4 linked regions of the Arabidopsis thaliana genome follow. The protein of the gene in region 1 interacts with the protein of each later gene in a biochemical or structural test. Each region holds a gene or a part of one and is shown in the gene's direction. Other genes may lie near its edges. The genes, in order: AT2G40290, MPK16, MPK4 and MPK5.

Region 1 (4,941 bases):
GCTCTCTCGCTGGTGAATTTCCATGGCGTGAAGAAGGATGTGTCTCCTTTGTTACCTTCCATTTCATCGAATCTTCGAGTTTCTTCTGGAAAATCTGGAAACTTAACTTTCTCTTTTCGCGCATCTAAAAGCTCAACCACCGACGCGCTAAGCGGCGTTGTCTTCGAGCCGTTTAAGGAAGTAAAAAAGGAGCTCGATCTCGTCCCTACCAGCTCTCATCTCTCACTCGCTCGACAAAAGTACTCAGACGAGTGCGAAGCCGCCATTAACGAGCAGATCAAGTAGGTTATTCTTTCTCACCCCAGTCTCTTAGATTCGGTATTATAATCTGGTTGATTGGCTATAAGATTTGGTAACTTGGAACCTCATGTTGATTCTGCTTATTGTTTATGAACCTGTGAATTTGAAATTCTTCAATGGATTTTGGTTGCAGTGTGGAATACAATGTCTCGTATGTGTATCACGCTATGTATGCTTACTTTGATCGGGATAACATCGCGCTCAAAGGTCTTGCCAAGTGAGTCTCCGGTTATTCAAGAGTGTTGATATTTTCGGATTTTTTTTGTTTATCCATAGTTAATTGTTGGTTTCATGGAATCAGGTTCTTTAAGGAATCAAGTTTGGAAGAAAGAGAGCATGCTGAGAAGTTAATGGAGTATCAGGTCTTATGAAAGTTATTTCCATTTGTTTACCTTATTGGAGCTAATTTGGTTCTAACATGTTTTAGTTTTTTTCCATGAATTGCAGAACAAACGTGGTGGGAGGGTTAAGTTACAGTCCATTGTAATGCCTCTTTCAGAGTTTGAACATGTTGACAAAGGAGATGCTCTTTATGGTAAGCTCAAAAATGCTAACACTAATAATCCCAAGTGAAAAAACTTCTTTAGTTTCATATGTCTGCCACATTCTAAGAAATTAGATATTGACACCAATGATTTTGTTAAGCTTTTGAAGAGATTGCATATTTTCACTAGCAAAGACTGAATTTTATCTGAGTTCTTAAGTATTATGAAAATGTATCTCTCATATGGAGATTCAAGTCTCAATGGATATAGGAATTTTAACATACAATTCTGTGATTTGTTGTTGCAGGCATGGAGCTTGCTCTGTCACTGGAGAAACTAGTTAATGAGAAGCTCTTAAACCTTCACAGTGTAAAGACCATCTCTTCTTGAGTTCATACTATATATGTCAAATCCGTATTTGAGAAGTAAATCTAATCTTCACTCGGCAAGAACTGTTCTCAGTTTGGTAATGCTTTGCTTCAACAGGTTGCTTCGAAGAACAATGATGTCCACTTGGCAGATTTTATTGAGAGCGAGTTTCTGACAGAGCAGGTAATTTATTTGGTGTTCTATGTTAGTGGCAAAGAGCTACTGTTGTATATAAGCTATCAAAGAGAATCTAATAGGAATTTTTGATAAAATAAAACATTTCTCAGGTGGAAGCAATCAAGTTGATCTCAGAATATGTGGCTCAACTGCGACGAGTTGGCAAAGGACACGGTACATAAATAATCTCTCACATTTTGTTCTAATCTATAAATTTATAAAAGAACAAGAAAATCCACTTATTCATCCTACGTCGTGCCTCAAACTTGGTTTTAATATATGTCTTTGAATGCTTGTGGGTAATTTCAGGAACATGGCATTTCAATCAGATGCTTCTGGAAGGGTAAGCAGCTTCGAGGGACTCTTGTGTCTACTGTGTTTCTATATGTGTCTACTTTATGTTTAGTTCTTTAGCTTTTACGATTTTGTGAGGTAGTAGACTTCTTTTTCTGTAAGAGACAAAAGACATGATCACATAACTTTATATTCTGGTATAAGGTTCATCAAACCCACCTGGTGATCGATTCTACATCGGTTCGGTCAGAATGTTTTTGGACTGCCAAATGTGGATTCGAGCTCTAGTTTAGTTTGCTCCGGTTTAAACGCAATTCATGAATAAGCAAAGGAAATCAATCCAAACTTACGTTGTGAAAGAAGTTGGGCCGAAAATGTCTGAAACCCGAATAGGCTTTTAACCCCTAACCCCTTGAAACTATCTTGTGGCCCAATTAAAACCTAATTGTTTAACTGACACGGTGCCGTTTAACTTGGCATCTTTGACGCAAGTCGACTCATTTTCCGTTTGTGTTCCTTGCTCATTTCTTATCTCTAGAAACCTGTCTGATTTGCTCCGTCGCCTAAAAAGTCTAAAACCCTAAGTGTCTCCGCCTCGTAGCTTTACCCGATTCAACGAAGAGTGAATTCGCGTGAGCTCAAGCAGTATCGAAATCTACCAATCATGGCGAGTCAAACACCGAATCTCGAGTGTCGGATGTACGAGGCGAAATACCCAGAGGTGGATATGGCGGTGATGATCCAGGTGAAGAACATTGCCGATATGGGAGCTTATGTTTCTCTCCTCGAGTACAACAACATCGAAGGCATGATCCTTTTCTCCGAGCTCTCTCGTCGTCGGATCCGAAGTGTTAGCAGTTTGATTAAGGTCGGAAGAATTGAGCCTGTCATGGTTCTCCGTGTTGACAAAGAGAAAGGTTACATTGATCTGAGCAAACGTAGAGTCAGCGAGGAAGATATTCAGACTTGTGAAGAGAGGTATAACAAGAGCAAACTTGTTCATTCTATCATGCGCCATGTTGCTGAGACTCTTTCAATTGATTTGGAGGTAAAATATCGTAGTTCAAATCTGGGATTATCTACTGGATTTGGATTTTGCTTGTTAGAGATATTATCAAATATCATAGCTTAGTGATGTGATCGTTGAATAGAAATTGATTTGAGCTTTCATGTTGCAGGACTTGTATGTGAACATTGGTTGGCCTTTGTATCGACGACATGGTCATGCTTTTGAGGTAAGAATTTTGTGAATTGGAGATTCATTGTGTATCTCTATGGTTATTTAGTTCTCATATATAATTTTCTTTTGTTCAGGCTTTCAAGATCTTAGTGACGGATCCTGATTCAGTGTTGGGTCCTCTCACCCGTGAGATCAAAGAAGTTGGGCCTGATGGGCAAGAGGTATATACTTTGTTCTCTGGCATTGTTTTAGCGGTTAGTACTAACTTTATTTGGTGCTAATCTTACAAGTTTTCTGTTTGTAGGTGACTAAGGTTGTACCTGCTGTTACGGAAGAAGTGAAAGATGCACTTGTGAAGAACATTAGGAGGAGAATGACACCACAACCAATGAAAATCCGGGCTGATATCGAATTGAAGTGTTTTCAGTTTGATGGAGTTGTTCACATTAAGGTCGTATCTCTTATTAGATTATCTTTAACTTGTGAAATGAATACATTATGATTTCATTTGATTTTCTCACCCATGCTTGTAATTTCAGGAGGCTATGAAAAATGCTGAAGCCGCTGGAAATGAAGACTGTCCTGTTAAGATTAAATTGGTTGCTCCACCTCTGTATGTCCTTACTACTCAGACACTTGACAAGGTTAGGCAATCTTCTATCTTGCACTATGATTTACTTGGTTTGGTAATTGGTATATTATAGAAATCCTCCCCTACTTATCTTTAAGAGGTTTATGATCTCTGTTTAGATTGTATATCCACTAAAGCTACTTGCCAGAATTTTGAAAACACTGTAGTTGCAAGGAAAGTAAATGCTTAAGAAAACACTGGACATTGCAACTTTGTTTGCCAATTATGTAGCTCTGCGGATTTGTCTTCACTTAAACCATAAATGTGTAAATGCTATGTTTTGTCCCATTTTATCTTCTCAATTTCTCAAATATTAAACAGGAACAAGGGATTGAAATTCTAAACAAAGCCATAGCAGCATGCACTGAGACAATTGAGACACACAAAGGCAAGCTTGTCGTTAAGGAGGGGGCTAGAGCTGTGAGTATCTTAAATTAGTTTTTTTTAAGTGATGAACCGTCTCGAGTTGCATGTCACAAGAACGAGCTTTTCTTTTGTGTTTTGTTTAATTTGGTTCACAACCGCCTATTAATGTTTATAATCTATGTCAAATATAGGTGAGTGAACGTGATGAAAAGATGCTGACAGAACACATGGCTAAGCTACGTCTTGACAATGAAGAAATGAGCGGCGATGAAGATAGCGGAGACGAAGAAGAGGACACTGGTATGGGCGAAGTGGATCTCGATGCAGGTGCCGGAATCATCGAGTAAGATTGCCGGATTTTTCTTTCTATTAAATCTACCCAATCTCAACAGTCCCAGTATTTTGGTTTAAGCTTTGACAAGGCAGTAGAAAAACCTCCGAGAGGATTTATGTGCTTTTTGATGACTCTGAGGCATTTTATTTTACCCATAGGGGGTGGTTACATATCAATCATACATTCATGGTTTTATAAAAGATTTGATTCTTTGCATATGTTACTACTGCTCAAGAATATGTTGCTCCACCACATGACTCATTATTATCTTAGGAAAACTTTGGCTCAATATGATCATACTTTTGAGTTTAAACCTCAGGAAAGTAGGTTGATTGGATCTGGCAATGATAGGTGTGTAGATTTAATTCAGATCTGATGTCTCCGAAGATGCAGATATTCATCAATTACTACTGCGATCTTCTATTGAGAAAATTTACCAAAAATGAAATTCTTAAAAATCCTCTGTCTGATACATAAATGGTTAACTTGCAATTGATTCATAATTAAAATGATTTATTACAAGATCAAACATCTTGTCTTATACTACTAATCAGAAAAGAAAAATTCTTTCGGACACAAATCCTTTTTTAATCTGTCGGCGCATTAAAAATTACTTAAGCTCTCTCTGCAAAATCGAAATGTGAAAGTTGCGACTTTTGGAGCTCAGCTCAGCTCACACTTTCCTCTTCCTCTTACCTGAAACGCGTCTCGTAACACTGATCTCTAATGATCTTCGTCTCCAATGGCGATATCAGTACAACACGTCGTCGTTTTACTCCTCTCCACTCTCCTCATCGCCATCACC
Region 2 (5,563 bases), on another chromosome or scaffold:
CTGAAGCTGTCGAACCTGAGGCTGTTGTAGCTAACCCAAACACTGGGTCATCTCCATCTGAGGCTTTCTAACATTCTGTATTAAGTTTCTTTTTCACTCATCAAAACTTGAATCTTTTGTTGGTTTGTTATGTAAAATTATTTGGCCTTCTAACATTCTGTATTCAGTTTCTTTTTCTGTACTTGAAACCTAAAATTTCAGCTTTTAAATATGAGTTTAAGGTTTCTTAATTAGTATTCAACTTCAAAGTTTAGTATAAAAATCCAATTAAGATAACCATTAAATATTGTTAAGTAGAACAGTAATCCCTATATTCAACAGTAATCATGCTTAAAACAAAACAGAAAAGAGTCGCTTATTTACCGCGAATCCATCGCAAACTTTACTACGGATTTGCGACTACAGATAAAAGCCACGCAAATCCATCGCAAATTTTGCGAGGCATTAGCGGGACAAAGAATTTGCGACTACTTTGCTACTGAAGTATTCCCTCGCAACTTGCGAGGAAAGAGCGAGGCTACTGTTGCAGCTAATATGCTACCGAGTACGTCCCTCGCAAATTGCGTGTGCTTCGCGAGTCTGGTCGTCCGTCGCAACTAGCGAGAAACTTGCGAGACCCGAAATTTGCTGTGAATTTGCTACGGATTGCTTCCCTTGCAAATTGCGTGTGTTTTGCGAGGCAACTTGTTCCTCGCAACATTTGCGAGGAACTTGCTACGAATTTGATTTTACGACGCGCGTTTTGCGAGGAACTGGAGTTCGTCGCAATTCCCTCGCTAAATGCTTTTTGCGAGAGACTAGCGACGGTTTCTTCCCTCGCAACTGGCGTGTTTTCTTGTAGTGACATCTACTTGAAGATTTAAAGCTTCGCTTTATTTATACGTTTGAAATCGATGCAAATGCAATTTTTCCAACCATGCAAAAGTTTACGCATGCAAGCACCTACAGTTATGAAGCAATTTCAAAGAACCCACCAAAGACAGAAGATATTAGATACGAAATACATATTTCAAATAAAATACTAGATTGACGATTGCATATATAAGTTTTTGTAAGTTTCTTGTACCATTGTACATAACTCATAAATATTGTCTCTAGATAATTAAGTATGTCTTATCGGTCAAATTCTATATCTTAAAAATAAGTAAGATTACTCATTAACTGCATACGAAAAAAAATTTAAACCACTCATTTCAATCGGATTCGAAATATAGGATAATCCACTTCATTTATATGTCTTTAACAACGACTATGACACGAAAGAAAATTATAAAGTAAACGAACTATTTATTATTGTAATAATTATAAGTCATCACTAATCCATAATAAATCGGATATCTATTCATTAAGAAGAGCATATATTAAAATAGTTTATACAAAAATATCCACACTGTATTATATTCGACGTTTGGACATTATCCAAAAGCTAGATTTAAGACAAAAGTCGCAAGTACCCATAAACCTTGGGGGGCAAATTGGAGTTTTCGTACAACGATAATCAGACTCCACTTATCCGCTTTTTTCAATTATCACAATAAAAGAAACGAATAATAATAATATTTTAATAATTTGTTCTGTTCTGTTCTTCATCTCATAGATCTCTCCTCTCTACACTTTCTTCTACAAAAGTGAGCAAATAAACTTGCCTCTTCGTCTGCTTCGTGAGATTTCAGATCCTGTAAAGAAATTTTATTAGCTCAAAAGAATCATTTTTGGGTTTCTGAACCATAAAAGCTTCTCTCGACTTTCAAAAACTCTCTCCTTTTTCCTTTTAGCCATTTCAAGCAGAGAGATTGATCGAAGAAGATAAAAACCTCGTCTTTCTTCAATCTCAGTGATTCTCAAATTACCCATCGCTTCCTTCTTTTGATCTCTTTGATTTCACTTCAAAAAGCAAAGAAATCTCGATTAGGTTATTCCTTGTTTCACCCCATAAATTTGCCTCCTTTTTTTTGGTCTCGGGAACTACTCTGATTTGTTTCAATCGATTCTGGATTTCGGGATTTGGATATAGAGCTCTCTGTTTTTGACATTGCCTTTGGAACTAAAATTCTCAGTCTTTGCATTTTTTTGATTCAAAAGCTCACTAAGTTTGGGTTTCAGAAGCTATTACATTTGGTCTTCGTAAGCGTCCTTTGAATGCCCTGTAGCTGAAGATGCAGCCTGATCACCGCAAAAAGGTCCAATTTTTCAATCTCTTATGTATCAGATTTGCTTATTAGAACTGATTAGGATCTGTAGCAATCCTTTTTACTGTTACTGCCTTTTAGTTTAGTCCTAATCTTTCTCTGTATTGAAGCTTTTGATATTGACAATAGATTTTTCTGTATATTCAGTCATCAGTTGAGGTAGATTTCTTCACGGAATATGGTGAAGGAAGCAGATACAGAATAGAGGAAGTGATTGGTAAAGGAAGTTATGGAGTTGTCTGTTCTGCTTACGATACACATACCGGAGAGAAAGTTGCGATTAAGAAAATCAATGATATCTTTGAGCATGTTTCGGATGCAACTCGCATTCTTCGTGAGATCAAACTTCTTAGACTCTTACGCCATCCTGACATTGTTGAGATCAAACACATCTTGTTGCCGCCTTCAAGAAGAGAGTTTCGAGACATTTACGTGGTTTTCGAGCTTATGGAATCTGATTTGCATCAGGTTATTAAGGCAAATGATGATTTGACTCCTGAGCATTATCAGTTTTTCCTCTATCAGCTTCTTCGTGGCCTCAAGTATATACACACAGGTTAAGCTAGCGAGCAATAAAATTTCATTGATTAGTATAAGTTTATGATTATCTTTCTGAAAATACTTTTTTTTTCTCTTCCTTTCAGCTAATGTCTTTCATCGGGATCTTAAACCCAAAAACATATTGGCAAATGCTGATTGCAAACTCAAGATCTGTGATTTTGGACTTGCAAGAGTCGCATTCAATGATACACCGACTGCGATATTCTGGACTGTGAGTAGTAGTAATTTAAATGCTTACTCTTTACAAGTTTACTCTTTTTGGTATGAAACCAATTTTTTATTCCTACTGCTTTCTGATCGCAGGATTATGTAGCTACTCGATGGTACAGGGCTCCAGAACTATGTGGATCTTTTTTCTCAAAGGTGACCATGATTTTGTATATATACTTTCATCGAATGTTTCAAATTTTCATAGGGAATCTAGTCAGTAGACACTATAGCTCTCTCATTCAGATTATAAAATTTTATGGTAACATTTTTTTTCTTTATCTATGCTTCTGTTCAGTATACACCGGCAATAGATATATGGAGCATCGGGTGCATTTTTGCAGAACTCTTAACAGGGAAACCTCTTTTCCCCGGGAAAAATGTGGTCCATCAATTGGATCTGATGACGGATATGCTGGGAACTCCATCTGCTGAAGCCATTGGAAGGGTATGTGTTCCTTTCCACAATGCTTAAGCATTGTTTCTTTTTTTGGCTGAATTTCTTACACTGAAACAGGTTAGGAACGAGAAAGCTCGAAGATACTTGAGCAGCATGAGGAAGAAGAAGCCTATTCCTTTTTCACATAAGTTCCCACATACTGATCCTCTTGCTCTTCGTCTTCTAGAAAAGATGTTGTCTTTTGAACCCAAGGACCGGCCTACAGCTGAAGAGGTGGTTCATACATTTCGTTCTTTACACTCCTTATGATGTAACTTTGGTTATAGCTAACTAAATGGTTTTATGTGTTACCTCAGGCGCTTGCAGATGTGTACTTCAAGGGTTTAGCTAAGGTTGAAAGAGAGCCTTCTGCTCAACCTGTCACAAAGTTGGAATTTGAGTTTGAAAGGCGGAGGATCACAAAAGAAGACGTCCGAGAGCTCATATACAGAGAGTCTCTGGAGTACCACCCAAAGATGCTGAAAGAATACTTGGATGGATCAGAGCCAACTAACTTTATGTACCCGAGGTACCGGCCTGAGCTGACCTGCTTCATACTATACTCCTGTGTATTATCCATGTTCTTATGGTTAATGTATTATTCATTCTGCAGTGCGGTGGAACATTTCAAGAAACAATTTGCTTACCTCGAGGAACACTACAAGAATGGTACTTCTCATAATCCCCCTGAGAGGCAACAGCATGCATCATTACCAAGGTATGCTTTACGTCCTTTAAAAATTTGATCATTTGGGATTCTTTCGAAACAGCTCAACAAAGCCTCTTTTTATGTTTTGCAGGGCTTGCGTATTGTACTCTGATAACAATCATCCGGTGGCACAACAGAGTTCAGCTGAAGTCACTGATGGACTCTCCAAGTGTAGCATTAGAGACGAGAGACCTCGGGGTGCAGACAGGAATGCCCAGATGCCAATGTCGAGAATTCCTATCAACGTCCCTCAAACAATCCAAGGTCTCTCACCCTCTCTGTATATAATGTTATGATGCAGAATAACTCTGTCTCCTGAACATTTATCTGGTTGTAATGAAGCAGGTGCTGCAGTAGCTAGGCCTGGTAAAGTAGTTGGATCAGTGTTACGCTATAACAACTGCGGCGCAGCCACAGGCGTTGAAGCTCTTGAACAACAACAGAGAAGGATGGTCAGAAATCCAGCTGCTGCGTCTCAATACCCAAAGAGGACTCAACCTTGCAAAAGCAACAGAGGAGATGAAGATTGCGCCACCGCTGCTGAAGGTCCAAGTAGATTGAAGCCAAACACTCAGTATATACCACAAAAAGTGTCTGCAGCACAAGATACTGCAATGAGTCGCTGGTATTAAACATGATGTTATGGTTCTAGTTTTAGCTTTACCACCTCACGTCTCAGGGAGAGCTAAAAAGAGTATCCCTTTGAGTCATCCATTGTGTTATCAAGAGCCGAAACGTGAAGACATGCTTAAGAGCGAAATGAGAGAAGGAAGCGTGAGAAGATAAAAGAAGTTCTTACAGATCCTGTCATGTAATTTGTCTTCATAGTTTTGTATTCTTAAAACAACCTTTGTTTATCTACGTTGTAACACTTACACTGTCTACGATTCTTATATCCCATGAACTCAATCTGTTTCACCTAATAATCTGATATGCACCAACAATAAACCCCAAATTTCATTGGATCTTTGATTTATGAGAAAACGCGTTGAAAACGATTCATTGTACTTGCTAGATCCGATTAGATCAGCCATTATCCATAACAGAGATTATACAATGCACAAATCTTTCTTCTTTCTCTCCCATTCAGTGCAACCGGGGCTTCACTCGTCTTCCACTCGCGTCACAACCATCGGCAAATATTTCTTTTCGATGTCCAGATACTATAACAGAGTGTTCACTTAGCCTCGCCACATACTGCAATAGCTCCGTTAGTAAAGATGGGCAACTCTCTTTCAGATAATCAAACCCATCTGTTTGCATCACAGCTGATCATAACAAAAGGGAAAAAACAGACACAAGTCTCATCATGTGAACAGAGTTGATTCAGATCGATTAAAAAGAAAGATCTTGTGTGTTTACCTTTCAGGTTCTCTGGCAGTGCCACGAATTTGAGACACACTGCTTTTAGCTGCAAACAATGATGCTGCTCTGCTAGGGCCAAAGTAGTTGCAACCG
Region 3 (5,913 bases), on another chromosome or scaffold:
AACATTGAAGTAAGCGGTAACATTTCGGAAGAATCTCTTTCTTTAGGTGAGTTTTCGTTAATCTTCGGCGAGTTTGGTTAAAGTAATGGTTTTTGTTCTGTCTTTGCATTCTTGAGATCTATTGATTCGGATTTTGGATTCAGAACAATGTTATTGGTTTGCTCATTGTTTCAGATTACTAACTTTGTTTCTTCTTTCTGTGTGTTTTCAGTTGATATGAGCCAACAACGTACACGCTCTCGGAACCCGTTCAAGATTCTGTTTACGAAGAAGAACAATGCTCGATTATCGCCAAAGCTTCTCTCACTGTTGAACAATTTCGAGACTAACTTGACGGTATCGATTAGAGAACTTGTACCAAAGGATAAGAATGATATCGTTAGTGTTTCTTGGATGATACAAGCCATGCAGTCTCTTTGTGAGACACACAAGAGTATCAGGACGCTCGTGAAGGATTTAGAGGTTCCAGTATCGGATTTGGAGGAGAATTTCATTTATATCTTCTCTGACTTTAGCTTGAAGCGGGAACTCTGCAACGCCTTTACCTCAGAGATATATCATTTGGAACATGGCAATCTATTACTAAAGTTTGCTTTTAGTAAGCTGGAGACAAACAGTGGCAATATTCTTCAGCGTTGGAATCAGCACATGGTTTCCAAGAACCCGAGTATCGAAAACTGGGGCGCGGTTTTGAGTAGGCTGGTTGAATCGATGGATCATCATCATCATATCTCCAAGAAGGGGAAGAAGAAATACTCTGCGGAAGGAAAAGTTCTCTTACGAGTTTTATACGGTGTAAAGGTCAAGACTTTATACATATTCAGCGTGTTTGATGCATCGTTCTCGGGTTCTTCCAAGAATCTCTTCTATCTAACCATTCCAAAGGAGATGGAGGAGCTTCCATGGGTTCAAGCTTTCATGGAACTGCAGAACACTATTAACCCGGAGATCAAAAACACATTTTTATCAGACGGATTCACGGTTATAAAAGATCTCGAGGCTGTTGAAACCGGTGTGAAGAAGCTTTACACAGCGGTACAAGAAGGGTCGGTTCCTATTTTGTTAGTGGAACCATTGGAGAAGTCAGTGATAGAACTTTCGGAAAGGTTTGAGCTAGTCTCCAAGGAAACACGTTGCTTGTCGAAGATGGTGATCTCTGCCCGAGACGCATTGTTGGAGAGCCTGTGGACGAAATGCGCAGAAGAGCTAGGAGTGACATTGCCAACGATGGTTAAAAGTGTTAATATAGAGGAAAAGAGCTAAGACTTGTTTGTGAATATAGAGGAAACATGTAATTATGGTATCGTTGATGTTAAGTAATAACAAATGCAGATAAAAATGAGACTTTAAAACGCTTCAAATATTGATAACTCTCTCTTTTCAATCGGTGCTAAGCTATAACTACATTTTCAAGTTAGTCAGAATTGTGCTTTAGTTCATCTTAGTTGATAATGGATAAGTGATGGGTTTGCTTGAGGCCCATTGTAAATCACTAGACCAAAAAAAATCAGTGTTATTTTCATGGTTACATGATCAATCAATCAAAGCAAACCAGATATTCTAGCTATTAATAATAACAAATGCACCAAACTTCAACATGGTTATATAAGTTGTTTAACCATGATTTTTTAAAAAAAATCAAAATGATGTCATTTTATCTTATACATAAACCTTTTTTCACTAATGGTTTTGGAATCAAAGGTCAGTTTTATGGTCAAAAACAATTTGGCCGCCCATTGACTTGTACACCACCAATATACCAAGTCGTACTTAAATTCTTATTGGAGAAAAGTTGTCATCTAGATTCTTTTAAACTTTATAATATGATATCAAGAACATTCCTACATGAAGTCATTAACTTGTTCCATTCTACAAACTTCATCAATTACATTTTTTCGGCAAAAGTCATAACCATATCTAATCTCTACTTCGTGGGATAACGCGATTTAGTAGAAGCAAACTCCAGTAAACAAAACTTAACCAATTGACTAAAAACACTTACCCGTTCCTCAATTACTTAGAGACACAATCATCGGATATACCCAACTCGATACCATAAACAAAATTGAAAATTGACATTACAAAGAAAAAGAACAAAAACCAAAGAAGAAGACGCAAACCCGGTTTAAGGGTCACGGGTGACTCGAGAGGAGACTTCCTCTTTACCGTTCAATAAAAAAAAAAGGGTAAAGGTAGAGACTTTATAACGAAATGTCAACACCCATCTTCTCGATTCCTCAATTTCTCTAGGGTTCTTCGTTTTCGTTGTTGTGAGGAATTTTGCTCCGATGTCGGCGGAGAGTTGTTTCGGAAGCTCGGGTGATCAAAGCAGCAGCAAAGGAGTGGCTACTCATGGTGGTAGCTATGTTCAGTATAATGTCTATGGCAATCTCTTCGAAGTTTCTAGAAAGTATGTTCCTCCTCTTCGTCCTATCGGTAGAGGCGCTTATGGAATTGTCTGGTGAGTTCCAAAATTAATCAGATTGGGTTTTTGAAACATGTAATGTTCACTTCTGGGGTTCTTAGATTTGGGAATTAGGGTTTTGGAATCTGTTGTTATTATAATAACTTGTGTTGATAATTGTTGATCAGTGCTGCTACAAACTCAGAGACTGGAGAGGAGGTAGCTATCAAGAAGATTGGTAATGCTTTTGACAATATTATCGATGCTAAAAGGACTTTGAGAGAGATTAAGCTTCTCAAGCATATGGATCATGAAAATGTACGTGTTACTAATCATCAGCATCTCTGGTTTTTTTTGTGTGAATCTTATATTGGTTTATTGTGCAGGTGATTGCTGTAAAGGATATAATAAAACCACCGCAGAGAGAGAACTTCAATGATGTTTACATTGTTTATGAGCTTATGGACACTGATCTCCACCAAATTATTCGCTCTAACCAACCCTTAACTGATGATCATTGTCGGGTATGCATCAATCTCCATCTTGCTTATATCTAGCAGCTGAATCTTCTGTTTCTACTTTAGAAGCAGCTGTTATTGTGTTAGAGCATCTGATGAGTATTGCTTGATACTTTATAAGTGAGAGCTAATAAGGATTTCGTTTGTTATGCTTTGAAGTTGTGTTTAGTAATTAGTTTCGATTATGTTTTGCAGTTTTTTCTGTATCAGTTGTTGCGTGGGCTCAAATATGTTCATTCAGCTAATGTATTGCATCGAGATTTGAAACCTAGCAATTTGCTCCTGAATGCAAATTGTGATCTAAAGCTTGGGGATTTCGGGCTTGCGAGGACCAAATCCGAGACTGACTTTATGACTGAATATGTTGTTACACGTTGGTATCGAGCTCCAGAGCTGCTACTTAATTGCTCTGAATACACAGCAGCAATTGATATTTGGTCTGTCGGTTGTATACTCGGTGAAACAATGACACGAGAGCCCTTGTTTCCCGGTAAAGATTATGTTCATCAGCTTAGACTCATCACTGAGGTAATCTAGTTTAGTATGTTTCATCCAAAGAATCACCACTTAGTCTCTCTTCACGGTATTAATGAATCTTTGGAAAGCAGCTTATAGGATCTCCTGATGACTCAAGCTTGGGATTCTTAAGAAGTGACAATGCAAGAAGATACGTTAGACAGCTTCCACAGTACCCTAGACAGAACTTTGCTGCTAGATTCCCAAACATGTCGGCTGGTGCAGTCGATTTGCTGGAGAAAATGCTTGTTTTTGATCCAAGCAGACGCATCACAGGTGAGTTATATTTTATATAACTGCTTCTCTGTTTCTTCGGCTATTTTCTGAACATGTTTTTTGTGTGTGTAGTTGATGAGGCGTTGTGCCACCCATATTTGGCGCCGCTGCATGATATCAACGAAGAACCGGTATGTGTGAGGCCGTTCAATTTTGATTTCGAGCAACCTACTTTGACAGAAGAGAACATTAAGGAGCTTATATACCGTGAAACAGTCAAGTTCAATCCTCAAGACTCAGTGTGAGAGAAAGAGAGAGAGATATATATCCTTAAAAGGAAACTCATCAAAATGCTATGTTTTGTTTTGCTCTGCTTTTGTTATCAAATCTCTGATAAGTTTGATAATATGTCTGTAATTTGAATAACATCCTAAAAAATTGGAAAAAAAGAAAAGAACAACCTTTGAGCTGTGTTTTGCAATAGAGTGTATTTAAATTTCCTTACTTTTTAGTCGAAAGAAAATACAGAGAAGTCTTAACTCTAATTACATCCACTAATTATCTTAATGATGGGGTTGAGGTCCGAAGGTGCGTAACCATCTGTTGAAGCGGTCCATAAGTGACAACTCTATCTTCTTCGTCGGAACATTGGGGACAGGTACGGCTTTGGTGAGTGGTCCGACCACGACTCGTAGCTTAAGCCCAGCGTAACAGTGACCTGGAGTCTTAGAGCTAATGAAATAATGGACTCCTGGTTCTGTGAGCGTGACGAGATCGTGGCCTGTCATGTGCACGGCTACGGGAGAAATCGGGTAGCAGGATATGAATTCAAGGTCCCCGCTGATCTCTAAGACGTCGTTGACTTCGTTGTCGTATTCGAAAAGAAGACTGTCTCCGATCGGAAACTGCGTCTTCTCACTCCATCTGTAATAAAAGTAACTTTCTTGCGGAACACTCCATCCCTTGGAGCCACACCAACTCTGTAGATATTTCAAGGAGGAAGGATCTTGCTCGGTGGTGTTGGAGGAATGGGACGTGACGAGTCATGAACGACAAGAATGTCGAGCTTCTGTCCCGATGCGCATTGAGCATGGTTTGAGCTGATGAACTAGTGAAAACCTGGTTCCGTGAGGGTTACGATATCGTGTCCAGGGTTGTAGACGGCTTTAGGAGAAGAAGAGTCGCAGAACTCGTATTCCAAAGCGCCGGAGACTTGAGTGACGTCGTTGAGGTTGTGATTGTGTTCGAAGATCAAAGAATCCCCAACGTGGAACACAAGTTTCTTTTGGCAAACAAATTATGTCTTTTCTTTTGGCGTTTTTCTCATATATATAGGTAGTAAAAGCAATGGAATGCTCACGATTCCTTGAAAAAAAAACAAGATCTTATTTGCAAAACAAAACTAACAAGAAACAATAACGATTGAGAACCAAGTCTCTATAGTTGATAAACTGGGCTTATGAAATCTTGTAGATTGTCTTGTTATGCCCATAAACTGAAAATACACGCCAAGCACATCATCTTCATCTCCAGCAACACGTACGTCGACACACATCACAAGTCATTACGGCATCAGTAGCTTAGTTACATAATAGTACTATATATATTCTCCAGCATTTTATTCATACGTTATAAATATTTCTTGCTGATTATATAGCTAACAGTAATTAGAGACGGAAATGACATCAAAGTCAACTCCCACATAAAGCTTATCCTTCACCAAATAAGGGTCATCAAGTTCCCCTAGAGGCATGAAATCCGCAAAGCCATGGCGGTCATCAGGTTCTGCACCAAGCCAACCCGAAACTATACGTACCAGGAGAAAAAGATTAGTACTGTATTTAACCATCATGCATCACAAGACTTTCCAAAACATAATAAACACATACTTGTTTTCTCAACATGATTCCTGCTAACTTGATCCAATACACGCAGCTTGAACCTCGCGTAAGTTTTAGTCTTTGGTGCATTATTGACAAACCCTAGTGCCGATAGATACACAGAAAATGATTTGTCTTTTTCACCCATAGACCCTCTTGGATGAACTTTAATTCTCCTGATCAAATATATTGTGATGCATTTTTATTAGTATTATATATAAGTTGTGTTATGTTTTTGGGAAAAAGGAGGAATATAATATCAACCATTTCCGGGTTCCAACGACAAATTCATTAGACTGATGAACGTTTCCAGGGTTGAAGGACGAGAACATGGTCATCATCCAAGTGACTCTGTGATTAAGAGGCTTCTCTATTAAGC
Region 4 (4,706 bases), on another chromosome or scaffold:
TGTTAAATTTAAACCTACTAATTTCCGATTTAAATTTCTTAATCTTGTTACTATGAACCAAAAATTACACAATCTTTTCCCACGGAACAAAGATTATTTATTAGTATCCATATACATACAAATATACAATACACTCAAGCCACTCATATTTCGTACTTGATCAAGATATTTTCCCCCGGTAAAATCCAATTTAGAATTGTACAACATATATATTGGAAGTTCCGTTGTGTCATACCGTCACACTAATAATACAGCATACCAATAATAGAGCGCAAACGTTTCACATTGAATAGTTCACCACATATCAACTTGAGTAAATTATTATGCTTAGAGTTGTTGTCTTTTTGTTTTTTTATTTTTTTTGAATATCTGGAAATTCAAACTCAAAGACCTTACATTTTCTAGAGGCGGGATCCACACCAGATTAAATTCATATCCTTTGGGAAAGAAATCTCTTCCAACATGCCTCAAACCCAGTATTTCTAACTGAGAGATTTACCTACATAATTCAACAATCATGTCTATTATGTTTTCAATTTAGGATATCTAAAAATATTGTGAAGATAAACGAAACAAAACTTGAGGGAAAAAAAACAGTCACGTGAGTCATGAGTTATAAAGCATGGATAATGTTGGAGATCTAATTAATCTAATTGAATGCCACATCAAATTAAGCCAATCAGTGGAGAAGATCAATAATAAAAGTGAATTGGATCTGCCACTACACTTTTAGCATGAATATGGCTAAAAGAGATTGGTATTGGTAATGGTATCGTTGTCGGAGATTGTCGTACCAATTAAATAACATGTAATTATTGGATATATATTATATTGTGTCGGCCTAGTCATATTTGATGTGTAAGTGCGAGTGATTTGAGTTAGATATGGGGTATTTTACGAGGAAAATATTGAACAATTTAGGGTATTTTAAGGGTTGTAGTTTGAGCATCACAAGTTAATTATATTTAGGTTCTGCGTAAATTTGACTCAAAAGATTAAGTTATCAAAAGAAACCTCGTATAATATGATCCATATTAATTTTCTTTTTTTTATATAGAAAAGTTGAAGATTATGAGTAAATTGGTAAACTCGCGATATTCCAGAGTTCAAAACGTAATTTTAATGACAATTTGGTGAATAGTATAAATTAATATATTAAGTAAAAGATAACATTCTATTCGATATTGGTTTAATATGTCAACTGTTATATGTACATATAAGATGTTACTGATATATTAAGTGAATAATATGATATTCACCAAAAAAAATTGTATAATGAATGTGACTTTGAGTTGAAAGTTTGAAAACGAAGAGACTATAACATTTGAAGGAATCTATGGAATACGGGTGTGGAACCAATAGTGGAGGCCCTCTTCATAAACCGAGTTTCCCGAGATCCAAATTGTGCTGATGGAGCGGTTTCTAACGTTCTTGTCGATAATACTTGCAAGCTTGGCCGAAGGAACAGAAGAGTTACCATGACGTCTACCATTACGCTCGCACCACAAAGTATGAATTGATTATATGGAATACATACCTTAGAATGAAAGTATGTAGTTTTGGATGAGAATCATCAAGTAGAAGAGGAGAGATTAAACTCCAACTTGTATTGTATCTCAGTATCTGTTGCGAAGAATTCCTTTAGTGAGAGATGTGTATTGATAGGTGAAAAGGAAAAGGTCTCTTACTTTCATATTACGTGGGCCTCATAACATAGACCAGAGCTGATAGCATACCTCTCTCTATATTAAATAGATGGGCCAGGCCCAAACGTTTACCCATCTGTATTTATTACAAAGTACACGTGGCTGATGGACATGTGACGATACGTTTTGACCTATTCAAAATATTCAAACTAATGAAAAAGAGTCGTTGTCCTCTGACGCGTCTCTCTCTATCTCCTTAGATTTTCAAAGTTTTCAACATTCAACAAAATCATTATTTTAATTTTGCAGAGACGAATCGAATCGATCTCATCTCCAAAAATCTTGTATTCAAAGTTTGATTTTCTGGGTTTCTTCTGTATTATCTCGATATTTGAAAAAAATGGCGAAGGAAATTGAATCAGCGACAGATTTAGGTGATACTAACATCAAAGGAGTTCTTGTTCATGGAGGAAGATATTTTCAATACAATGTTTATGGAAACTTGTTTGAAGTTTCTAATAAGTATGTTCCTCCTATTCGACCTATTGGTAGAGGAGCTTACGGTTTTGTCTGGTACAACTTCTACCCTTTTGTGTATTTCATATTCTTGTTTCTTACTTAGTATTTGTAACCCTAATTAGATAAAGAACTAAGTATTGGTATAGGTTTTTGAATTAGGGTTGCTTGCAAAATTTGATCTTTTTTGGATTTAAGAAAGGTTCTGTCTTCAAAATCATAGTTTAAATTGAATGAATTTGATGATTTGTTTGTGTTTGTGTTTATGTATAAGCAAAATGATTCATGAGAGTATTGGTTTATTGTTATAGTGCTGCAGTAGATTCGGAGACACACGAAGAGATTGCGATAAAGAAGATAGGTAAAGCCTTTGATAATAAAGTAGATGCAAAGAGAACATTGAGAGAGATTAAGCTACTTCGTCATTTAGAACACGAGAACGTAAGTTTTGTACTCTATTTTCGCGGTAAACGATTAGAGTTTCTAGCTAATGTGGTCTTGACTTGTACAGGTTGTTGTTATAAAAGATATCATTAGACCACCAAAGAAGGAAGATTTCGTTGATGTTTATATAGTTTTTGAGTTAATGGATACTGATCTTCATCAGATTATTCGATCAAACCAATCTTTGAATGATGATCATTGTCAGGTACGGTTTTTACTCTGCTATATTTGATACTATGGTTGATTTAATCACAAGTGATTCACTTTTTCTTCTTTTGCAGTACTTCTTGTATCAGATTCTACGAGGACTCAAATATATTCATTCAGCAAATGTTTTACATCGTGACCTTAAGCCGAGTAATTTGCTTTTGAATTCGAATTGCGATCTTAAGATTACTGACTTTGGTTTGGCAAGGACTACATCAGAAACAGAGTATATGACAGAGTATGTTGTAACACGATGGTACAGAGCACCAGAGCTGCTTCTTAATAGTTCTGAGTATACATCTGCTATTGATGTATGGTCTGTTGGTTGCATATTTGCTGAGATTATGACAAGGGAACCGCTTTTCCCGGGGAAGGATTACGTTCATCAGCTTAAACTTATCACTGAGGTATGATGTTCTGTTTTAGAAAGATCTGTACAAATGTTGGAAACTTTTATTTGTGTGTTGCAATGTGTTTATGAGTTGTTTCATGTGGTTGAGTAGTTGATAGGATCACCTGATGGAGCGAGTCTAGAGTTTCTCAGAAGCGCGAACGCGAGAAAATATGTTAAGGAGCTACCTAAGTTCCCAAGACAAAACTTTTCAGCTAGGTTTCCTAGTATGAATTCTACAGCTATCGATCTACTAGAGAAAATGCTCGTGTTTGATCCAGTAAAACGTATCACGGGTATGATGAGAAAAATTGTACATAGCGAGATTGGCATATGGGTGATGAATCCTTGATCATACTCTTTGTTTTGCAGTTGAGGAAGCACTGTGTTATCCTTACTTGTCAGCTCTTCACGACCTTAACGACGAGCCTGTTTGTTCCAACCATTTCAGTTTCCATTTTGAGGATCCGTCTTCCACTGAAGAAGAGATAAAGGAGCTTGTGTGGCTCGAATCTGTGAAGTTCAATCCTCTGCCGAGCATTTAAAACATTATTTAAGAAGGGGAAAGCAAGTTTTATACTCTGACATTGAGCAAAACAAATTAGTAGTGTTTAAGCTCTGTTTCTCCTTCATCTCATGTTGATCGTTGTTTAAGCTATTTCACTAGTTAAAAAAGCTGTCTTGCAACTCAAGAAATTGTTCTATAAGGATCCTTGTAACCCAAGACATATCTTTAGTAGTTATGTCCATTCTTATTATCAGGATGTCTTAGATAGTGTTCTGTTTCTTCTACATATCATGTTGTTATCTTGTAACTCAAGAAATTAAATTAAAAAGCTATCTTTGTTTAGACTTGTATCATGTCACTTGGATTGTACTCGTAGAAAATGGGAAAAACTCGATGTGTTTATTCATCTCCAGCAGTTTCTTCAAGCACTACGTCGAGCTCTTGCAAATTTTGGTAATGAACACTAGTTCGATCCTTCACTCTCGAAACTCGACAAAAAAGTCTATCAACTTCGTCTCTTGACTCTATTCGAGTGATATTTTCATCATCTAGAAGGACGTTGATCCCACTCCTTCGTAACGCGGCTCTAAGAAGGCTGGAGAACTTGTTGCGGATCTCTCGACTCCGAAAACTTATGTAAACTTGATGTTGCGGCGTAATCTAGAGATTTTACAATGATTAGCCACTAGATTTATACAATAATTATATATATATAATTAACATACAGTATGTTCTTTTGTACACACCTTTTTTTTTTCTTTGTCATTGGCAATATTTCAATTTCTCTAATTCTAGAACTACATAATTTTTGATTTAATAGGATTACGTACGTGTGATGAGGAAACGTTGTCAAGCATTGCCTTAACCTTCTCGACGATTTCATTTACGAAGGTTGCTTGGTTGCTTCCAAAACAAAGTAAGAAAGAAAACAAATCATATAAGTATGATAACAATGTCGCAAATGGAAGAAACTACTGTTAAATGACCTCATTTT

The links.
Region 2: of the proteins of AT2G40290 (region 1) and MPK16, one has a biochemical effect on the other in vitro, tested with the Arabidopsis thaliana proteins (one large-scale study listed by BioGRID).
Region 3: of the proteins of AT2G40290 (region 1) and MPK4, one has a biochemical effect on the other in vitro, tested with the Arabidopsis thaliana proteins (one large-scale study listed by BioGRID).
Region 4: of the proteins of AT2G40290 (region 1) and MPK5, one has a biochemical effect on the other in vitro, tested with the Arabidopsis thaliana proteins (one large-scale study listed by BioGRID).

Annotation. Positions count from the first base shown.
Region 1 is NC_003071.7:16,828,238-16,833,178, reverse strand, and holds AT2G40290 (Eukaryotic translation initiation factor 2 subunit 1), read left to right. Parts: upstream 1-1,952; 5' UTR 1,953-2,289; coding exon 2,290-2,673; intron 2,674-2,803; coding exon 2,804-2,860; intron 2,861-2,939; coding exon 2,940-3,026; intron 3,027-3,109; coding exon 3,110-3,256; coding exon of another isoform or gene 3,257-3,307; exon of another isoform or gene 3,308-3,344; coding exon 3,345-3,449; intron 3,450-3,757; coding exon 3,758-3,856; exon of another isoform or gene 3,857-3,860; intron 3,861-3,993; coding exon 3,994-4,149; 3' UTR 4,150-4,413; downstream 4,414-4,941. Other genes in the region: FER4 (ferritin 4), read left to right, coding at 1-281, 434-517, 602-662, 748-835, 1,093-1,154, 1,272-1,337, 1,442-1,505, 1,641-1,678; AT2G40280 (S-adenosyl-L-methionine-dependent methyltransferases superfamily protein), read left to right, coding at 4,879-4,941. UniProt on the Arabidopsis thaliana protein: Functions in the early steps of protein synthesis by forming a ternary complex with GTP and initiator tRNA. This complex binds to a 40S ribosomal subunit, followed by mRNA binding to form a 43S pre-initiation complex.
Region 2 is NC_003076.8:6,344,270-6,349,832, reverse strand, and holds MPK16 (mitogen-activated protein kinase 16), read left to right. Parts: upstream 1-1,565; 5' UTR 1,566-2,156; coding exon 2,157-2,180; intron 2,181-2,336; coding exon 2,337-2,745; intron 2,746-2,833; coding exon 2,834-2,961; intron 2,962-3,053; coding exon 3,054-3,113; intron 3,114-3,255; coding exon 3,256-3,405; intron 3,406-3,474; coding exon 3,475-3,630; intron 3,631-3,713; coding exon 3,714-3,925; intron 3,926-4,009; coding exon 4,010-4,114; intron 4,115-4,196; coding exon 4,197-4,369; intron 4,370-4,450; coding exon 4,451-4,737; 3' UTR 4,738-5,063; downstream 5,064-5,563. Other genes in the region: BPM1 (BTB-POZ and MATH domain 1), read right to left, coding at 5,192-5,373, 5,468-5,563.
Region 3 is NC_003075.7:564,931-570,843, forward strand, and holds MPK4 (MAP kinase 4), read left to right. Parts: upstream 1-1,986; 5' UTR 1,987-2,288; coding exon 2,289-2,461; intron 2,462-2,592; coding exon 2,593-2,722; intron 2,723-2,790; coding exon 2,791-2,928; intron 2,929-3,117; coding exon 3,118-3,450; intron 3,451-3,530; coding exon 3,531-3,714; intron 3,715-3,786; coding exon 3,787-3,959; 3' UTR 3,960-4,217; coding exon of another isoform or gene 4,218-4,634; 3' UTR 4,635-4,792; coding exon of another isoform or gene 4,793-4,936; 3' UTR 4,937-5,074; coding exon of another isoform or gene 5,075-5,146; 3' UTR 5,147-5,311; downstream 5,312-5,913. Other genes in the region: BPS3 (BPS1-like protein), read left to right, coding at 217-1,263; AT4G01380 (plastocyanin-like domain-containing protein), read right to left, coding at 4,218-4,634, 4,793-4,936, 5,075-5,146; AT4G01390 (TRAF-like family protein), read right to left, coding at 5,312-5,460, 5,544-5,710, 5,799-5,913. UniProt on the Arabidopsis thaliana protein: The ANPs-MKK6-MPK4 module is involved in the regulation of plant cytokinesis during meiosis and mitosis. Essential to promote the progression of cytokinesis and for cellularization (formation of the cell plate) during male-specific meiosis.
Region 4 is NC_003075.7:6,890,097-6,894,802, forward strand, and holds MPK5 (MAP kinase 5), read left to right. Parts: upstream 1-1,829; 5' UTR 1,830-2,046; coding exon 2,047-2,219; intron 2,220-2,473; coding exon 2,474-2,603; intron 2,604-2,673; coding exon 2,674-2,811; intron 2,812-2,887; coding exon 2,888-3,220; intron 3,221-3,316; coding exon 3,317-3,500; intron 3,501-3,576; coding exon 3,577-3,749; 3' UTR 3,750-4,111; downstream 4,112-4,706. Other genes in the region: AT4G11340 (Disease resistance protein (TIR-NBS-LRR class) family), read right to left, coding at 4,112-4,372, 4,543-4,615.